Arabidopsis thaliana: one gene and its partner. The protein of the gene in region 2 interacts with the protein of the main gene of each other region in a pairwise test. Each region holds a gene or a part of one and is shown on either strand. Other genes may lie near its edges.

The links. The genes of interacting proteins can lie anywhere in the genome.
Region 1: the proteins of AT1G17310 (region 2) and HB51 interact in a two-hybrid assay, tested with the Arabidopsis thaliana proteins (one large-scale study listed by BioGRID).

What each region holds. Positions count from the first base shown.
Region 1 is NC_003076.8:1,003,178-1,007,205, reverse strand, and holds HB51 (homeobox 51), read right to left. Parts: upstream 2,425-4,028; 5' UTR 2,222-2,424; coding exon 2,104-2,221; intron 1,552-2,103; coding exon 1,196-1,551; coding exon of another isoform or gene 1,088-1,195; exon of another isoform or gene 1,067-1,087; coding exon 833-1,066; 3' UTR 575-832; downstream 1-574. UniProt on the Arabidopsis thaliana protein: Putative transcription factor.
Region 2 is NC_003070.9:5,927,314-5,930,842, forward strand, and holds AT1G17310 (MADS-box transcription factor family protein), read right to left. Parts: upstream 1,521-3,529; 5' UTR 1,388-1,520; coding exon 701-1,387; 3' UTR 612-700; downstream 1-611. Other genes in the region: AT1G17300 (uncharacterized protein), read left to right, coding at 74-127; AT1G17330 (Metal-dependent phosphohydrolase), read left to right, coding at 2,653-2,814, 2,968-2,998, 3,091-3,109, 3,490-3,529.

The DNA.
Region 1 (4,028 bases), on a different chromosome or scaffold from region 2:
AAGTATATTTCAGTTTAAAGACAGCTATTCGAAGTTGGTTTGTAAAATACTAAAATTGGTTCAAAATTTGATTGGCCCATTACAAGTTACACATCTTACCAAACTTTAAGCTCAGATTCACTGACTCTTAGTTAGGCCCAAAATAACTCCTGACTAGGCCCAAACAAACTAGCAACGACGGTTCCAAATATAAACAATGGAGTGGCAGCTTCGTACTACTTCTGATCACTTTATGGCTTTTGCGTCTGATGTTTTATCAATATGAGACAGTTATTGGAATACTGTCAAGGTTACAATTTTTATGATCTCTGATTCGAAATGTAAAGTTCTTAAATATTTAACAACTAAAGCCTTCTTCAATCAAAGCTTACCTGGAGACAGTCATGTACATATAAAGATTAGCTTTTTACCAAGCTACAACACACACACACACACACACACACACAAAGCCTAAGCAGCTTTTTTTTGCGTCAAGAGGTCTCAAGTTCGGTGAAGGGAAGCGGAAAATGCTGAGCATCAGTGTCAAGATTTGTACAATCTCGTTTACTCTCGTCATTATTTTGGTTTATAGCTAGTTTTGTTTCGGACATTCGCCAATTCTGAGTGTTCATAGTATAGTTGTTCAACAAAACCAACTCAACAATTTTCAGACTCAATCTCGCATCCAAGAACGTGCCATTTATGTTTTAAGATCGTACAATGAGAGAAAGCTTGTCTTAGTCTATAACACTACTAAAGTCCTAGTCTAAAGCTCTATTTGACACAATCTCTCTCTCTCTCTTTCTCTCGTTCTCTCATTCTCTTTCCCTCTCTCTGAGATCAGCAACATCTATCAGGGGTATGACGGCCAGCCAGAGGAAGCAACCAGCATCGGATTGTTGTATTGACCGTAAACTTGATTCCCTCCGGTGATTTGATTTGCGTTCATATTCTCCGTTCTTGGATGAGCTACCACCACCGATGAAATCTCCACCGTGTCTTCCTCACCGGAAACTTTGATGGTCCCGGCAGAGATTTGCTTCTTGATCAAACCCTGGTCTCTTAGTAAAGCTCTCAGCTTCTTCACCTGCACCACCAATCCAATTTTTTAAGGGGGGCAATCTGATAGAATCAAGACTTTAAGGGATAAATTAAGAAAACGATAATATGTAATTAGATCCCATGATTTTAATTTTGTGCAATATAATACACAAACCTCATCGTGTAACATTTGTTTCTCCCTAGAAACGACGTCGTACTCTTGTCTAAGCGAGTCGTACAACTGCTCAAGCTGCTTCGCCTTCCACCGTGCACGGCGGTTTTGGAACCAAACTGCTATCTGACGTGGCTGCAGACCGAGCTCTCTCGACAGCTTCACCTTCCTGTCTGAATCTAATTTGATCTCTTCTTGAAAACTTCGCTCAAGTGAAGCTAATTGTCCACTCGTTAGTCTCTTCTTTTTTATCATCTCATTGTTGTTGTTCGGAAATCGGTACGCATTCATGATCTTTTCTGATTCCGGTACAGAGATAACCGGTCCGGTTTGTGTATCGCCAGGCGTATATGAATTTCCTGCTGTTAAACATTTTAGCAAACGCCCCGAAAGGATAAAAGGAAATATTTAAACATAGAAGCGCAACAATATAATCATTATACGAAAAAAAAAAAAAAAAAAAAAAAACTTCCAAAAGTATAAGAAGAATAAAATTATGTCCGCAACCATTTTTCTTAGAGTGAACTATACCATAAACGAATCTCAACTTTTCAAAAGTGACGTTTTACCTTTTTGCATTTGGATCCCAAGAAATTGTTTTTGTAGGATCCCAAGAAAAAAGTAAGAAACTTTATTTATAGATATTGTAGACTGAAGATAAGAAAATCTTAGCTTCTCATCAGAAAAGTAACGTTTTAGTTGACATTTGGAATGAAGTTTAGGGACGTCATATTTGAAATTCTTTACATCATTCACAGAAAAAAAAAAACTTCTTGAGAACATTTGCAAGTGGGATAAATAAGGTTTTAAAGTTCATGAATTCGTCAAATATGGAATTAAACACATCTAAAAGTAAAAAAAACGAAAGCATGTAACATATGCAGACTTGGTACGATGGTGTGTGAATATACCTGCGTAAGGATCAAAGTTGAAGCTGTGGAGCGAGTTAAAGGAACTAGACTCCGGCCATGGCGGTGGCATGAAAGCTACTCTCACGTTTTCTACGTTGCTCGTTGTTGACCACTCCATCTCCTTTCTTTCTTTTGTAGTTCTTGTGAATATCTTAATATATATAAGAAGACATGAGAGATGGTCTATAAGGAAGAAAGATATAGGATCTAATACAATGGATAAAAGAAAGAAAAGAAAATTAGGGTTTTATTGGACCACAAGGGAAGGGGTAAGAGAGGCGTGACAAGAAGTTTCTTCTTCTATGTACTTTGTCTTTTGGAGGTGTAACAAAGTGTGAGAGCACGCAGTGTTCGAAACAATACATATATAAATAGGGATATGTATCTAGAGGGAGATATAGAGGTGTAGTGAAAGAGACAGAGTGAAATTGTCTGTGTTGTGTGAGGTTTTTTTCACCTAATAAGGGAGCAACCCAACAGTACCTTTTGTTTTGGAATTTAAAGATTGAAAAGGAAAGTGTGATATAATTTTGTCTCATTTGCACATCATCAATCATCATCCATCATCTCTCTAACATTAATATAGGTTGATATATTTTGTTGTGTCCAAGGGTCAAACTTGGAATTTTTAATTTATTTTCGGGAAACTGTTTTTTCTTTCGTATTAGTTTTTTTATAATATATATACTATCATGACACCTAATCTACTTGTTTATGTCAATATTATCGTTGCGCTTTTTCGATAAACATACAAATTGTAACAATTTATAGTGTTACAGAGTTTGCAAGATGATGTGAACCAACCAAGACAATACATGTTTTAGATTTAAATAAAATTGATTTTGCTACAAAATTAGAGGTTTTGATAATATCATATTTTTTGAAGAAAAAACAAACAATCTTGAGCCTTGTGTGAATGCACCAAATATTCCTTTTGAAAATCTAGTGTAAACCAATAAATGGTAAATCAAAATCTGCATGGATTAATTATATTTGACGGAATTTCTAAACTTGGGACTTTTTAACATTCACATAAATCTACTTGTGGCCTTTAACATTTAAACCACCGTCTTAATTGACTGAATTTTATAAACATGGAAACATAAATGTAGTTGAAAAGAAATTGATGAGATTTTATATATAAATATATTGTAATTTCGTGTAGTAATATAGGTGGGGGTACGTATTTGTCAAAGTTAAGCTTAAATAAGTGAAAGAGAAAGAGTGAAACGAAACTAATGGTCCCCCAAAAACTCCATAAAAACTGACAATGTGGTTCCCCCCTTCTTTGGTTATGCCTTCATTCTTGGTCCTAAGATTTTCAGTTATTGTTTTGTCTTATATATACACCATCTAAATCTACTTATATATATGTGAAAATTAATGTGCAAAAGGTTTGGCACTAGTGGCAAGTCCATACCAATGTATATGTGCAGTAACCTGTATAGAGTATATAGGGTGAGGCCAAAAGCTACCTTTGAAAGCTAAGAATCAACACAGAGAGCTAAGTAGATCATCTATAAATAAAGAGTCTGATATGACCAATAAAAGCCAAAGCAAAGAAGAAGTTTGAAAACTAAGTCTCATTGTCTTCATCTACTGTGTACTCTTTACCCCCACATTCTTTATTAACTTGCAGTTCTACACACAATCTCTCTCCCTATATCTCTCTCTCTCATATTCAATTGCTACTTAACAAATTGTTGATGTGTAAATAGTGTAAGAGATGGAGAGAGAAGGGTAGAGAGGGAAGGAAAGGAATCTTTTTCTATGTTAAAAGTAGATAGGGTTTGAACAGATTGATGATAAGTAATGAGATTTAAAACTAACGACAGTGTATAAGAGAAAAGGGAAGCTTTTAAGCCTAAACCCTTGAAAGAGATGAGACATCACAGTTTTCATAGTGTATAATTTTTTTAAGAATA
Region 2 (3,529 bases):
TAGAGACTGATGTCTTAAAACGTTTCTTGACTGCTTCTGATTTTTATTTGTGGGGATATAAATGATCACACAGGTTCTCAAATATGAGTATGCTGTCCGTGGAGAAATTATCAACATTGGTCAATGATGAGACTGGATGTGTTGAGGCCTGAGAGAGTCGGCTGGTCAAACACGTGAAAGAGAAAACCTAATTGCATGTTTAGGGATTAAGCTAAGACTTAGTCTATGTTATTATTCTGTGTCAATTTGTGTCGTGCAAATAAATAAGAGTGACTTGGTTTCCTTGTTTTAAGGAACCAGCATTCCAACCTTTCCCGTTTGTTCTTAATTGTAAGAATCACTTGTTTCCTTCGTTATTTGCTTTTTCTTGTACGCCTTACATAAAATAAGAAAACGACCAAGAGAAAATGCAGTTTCAATCTGCCAAAAATACTTCATGTGGTATATAAATATGGTACATGTGCAGGTCAAATCTTAAAAAAAATTGAAAGCTGGTTTAACTGATAGAATACTGTTCTACATTATGTAATATGTATGGTTCAAAGATTAAAAATCCAAACAACTGAATTTCCAAAGTATGAAGTATACAAGAGATGAAACAATCTGATGATCAATAGCATAAAATCATATAATTAAACTTAACAAAACTAAATAAAATATTTTAGAAATTCATTAGAGGAATACTTCACGACTGGACTAATCAATCACCGTTTTGACCTACACGGCATCGATTAACCCCATCCGTCAGATTTTCCAATTTTTGCATATCCATCGTTGGTTTCCATCCCATCACATTGATTGGCCATGCCGGAACCATATCAACCGTCCGATCGTTACCCATCGCCACAATCTTTTTCCCTATATTTTCTCTCAACATACTCAATGCTGCCATGTACTCCTCAAGCTCCTCTTCTGGCACACTCTCCACCGGACGCTCCCACCACGGTCTCCTACTTTCCTCATCCGCCGCGTTATCACCGGAATATCCCTCCAACTTCACCGGACTCTTACGAAGATACTTGTCTATCAATGCGTCTACATGGCCAAATCTGTAGATCCTATCGCATTTAGAGAACGTTATGACGGCGATTTTTGCGCCCGTGAGAACGCTCAATTCAGCGGATTTCTTGAACAGCCCACGACGGCGTTTCGAGAACGTTACTTGTCTCTTGGTCTCTTCCTCGATTTTCTTGATCTCTATCTTCTGTCTTCCTCGTGTCGTTTTAGGGGTTTGTGTTGTTGTCTCCTTTTTTGGTTGTCTAACCAACATGTTAGGGCTTTGAACAGAATCCTTGGGCGTCAAGCAAGTCATCGATGAAGTTTCTCTTTCTCCTTCCATGAACAAATCTTTCATGACTAACCGAGAGGGGAGAGATGAAAATATCATTAGGTTTTTCCTTGGTCGAGGGATTTATAGTCGTTCATGATTATGTAATAATAAAGGAATTAATTTGTCTTACTTTTCTTCGTACGTTTATGGAATGTTGTATTAAATGCACCTCCAATTAATTAATATTTTTCGGAATGATTCAATGAATCAAAGATAGCTTCTCGTAAAAATGTAAGACATGTGTTGTCTTATACAAAAGTTATAGAAATAATATAAAATCCGAGATACTACTTTCCATTTTAGTCGTTTATTGAATAATCGATTGTGAATTTGTGATACACATTATATTTATATAATATATGCATAGTCTACCTAAATATACACGAATCTCTTTTTACTATCACGTACACATATACAAACGTAGCATGTAGAACAATTATGTCATGCCAAGCAGAAGAAAAACATATGAGTATATGACGTCTTCTTGCCAAGAAGTGATCACATATTCAAATTACACATATGATATTTAAGAATTCCAAATATCACGGTAAAATGTCTAAGTGACAAATTGATCACATATTCAAATTAATTAAGTATCTCATTCGTGGCCAAGAAGTGATTTGATGACATCCTTGTTACTTGATTACAATCTATTCCATAGAACAAAAAAAAAAAAAAAAAAAAAAAGAGTTTAAGAACAGAAACTTGGAAAATAATCAATTATTGAACTACCTCTCTAGAAACAACTAAAATCCCGAATATTTATAAACACCAAAGCAGATAAACCACTTCATAACCAATGCAATTGAAAAGGTTCGGGGACAAAGATAAACCTTGAAATCTTACTAGGGAAAACACCAAAGACAATCTCCATTTCAATGGATCAAATTTGTTTTGAAAAATGTATCCAAAAGTCATAAGTTTATATAAATCGACCTTTCAACTTGACAAATCAGTACTATATAGCCAGCGATTAATGTAAAGAATAGGTTTTCTATAACAATCAGTACAGAGATTTTTAAAATAATTAACAGAAAGTGGCAAAGTTTGTGTAGTTTAATCTACAATAATATGTGAAAATATCTCTGTAAATTTAAATATTTTTTAAAAAAACATAAATAAATAAATTCTTTCATACGTAAGGGTAAAAAGGTAAAATGAGTAAATTCCTTCCCCGAATTTCTCTTTGACTCCGGTGGTCAACGTCGAGCCGAGACGGCAAACTTGAATCAATTTTAAAACAGAGCTTCCGACGCTGAAATTGCAAAATCAAAATCTCTCCAATCTTCGAAACTGAGCAGTTGAGAGAGAGAGAGAGATAGATGGCGGCGAAGACGATGAGGAAGGCGGAGGAGCTGGTGGAGAAGGCGATGAAAGGAAACGATGCTTCTCATGACGCCTGGCACGTGTGGAGGGTCCGAGACCTTGCTCTCTCCATTGCTCGCGAGGAAGGTCTCTCTTCCAATTCTGACTCCATGGAAATTGTGAGTTTGAAAAATCCCTAAATCTCAAAGTTCTAGTTCAGCTGAGCCTGATGAACCTTCTTCTAGTTAGTTCTTCTAGTTAGCTATAGCTGTTTATTGTCAAATTTCAGCTCTTTTACTTTAGAGTGAACCATTTCTGTTGATACTTTGCAGGTGGAGCTTGCAGCTCTTCTCCATGATATAGGTACTTGGTTTTATTTTCATTTCTGTTTTAGTAATGTGGTTCTAGTCCACAGGTTGATCATAATTCGTATCTCTTGCCCTCTCTCTTATCAGGTGATTACAAGTACATAAGGTTTGTTTCTCTAAGTTTTCTTTTCTTTTGAACCGCTTGAGTATAGACTAGTAATGTCCCTTCCAACATTCTTGATCACACTTCCAGGAAACAAAAGTGTTTACTTTTCTCATGAAACTCTCTAAGTTCCCTGCTTTTAACTTTGTTTTATCTAAACTGGATGAATAAAGAAACTTGGAAGTGTTTTGTTTGCGAATGCCATTAGGTAAAGCTTGTGAGAATTCCTTGTCAGATTTGCTTACCTTAGGATTGCTAGGCTCTACTAAGTGGAACTTGGTGTGGATATAAACATAAAAACTACTTAACTATGAATGCTGAAGATTGCTTTCCTTCCGCTGATATGTTGCTTCATGGCAAAAATAATTATAACCGGAATTCAGAGACCCTTCGGAAGAGAAACTTGTTGAGAATTTCCTAGAT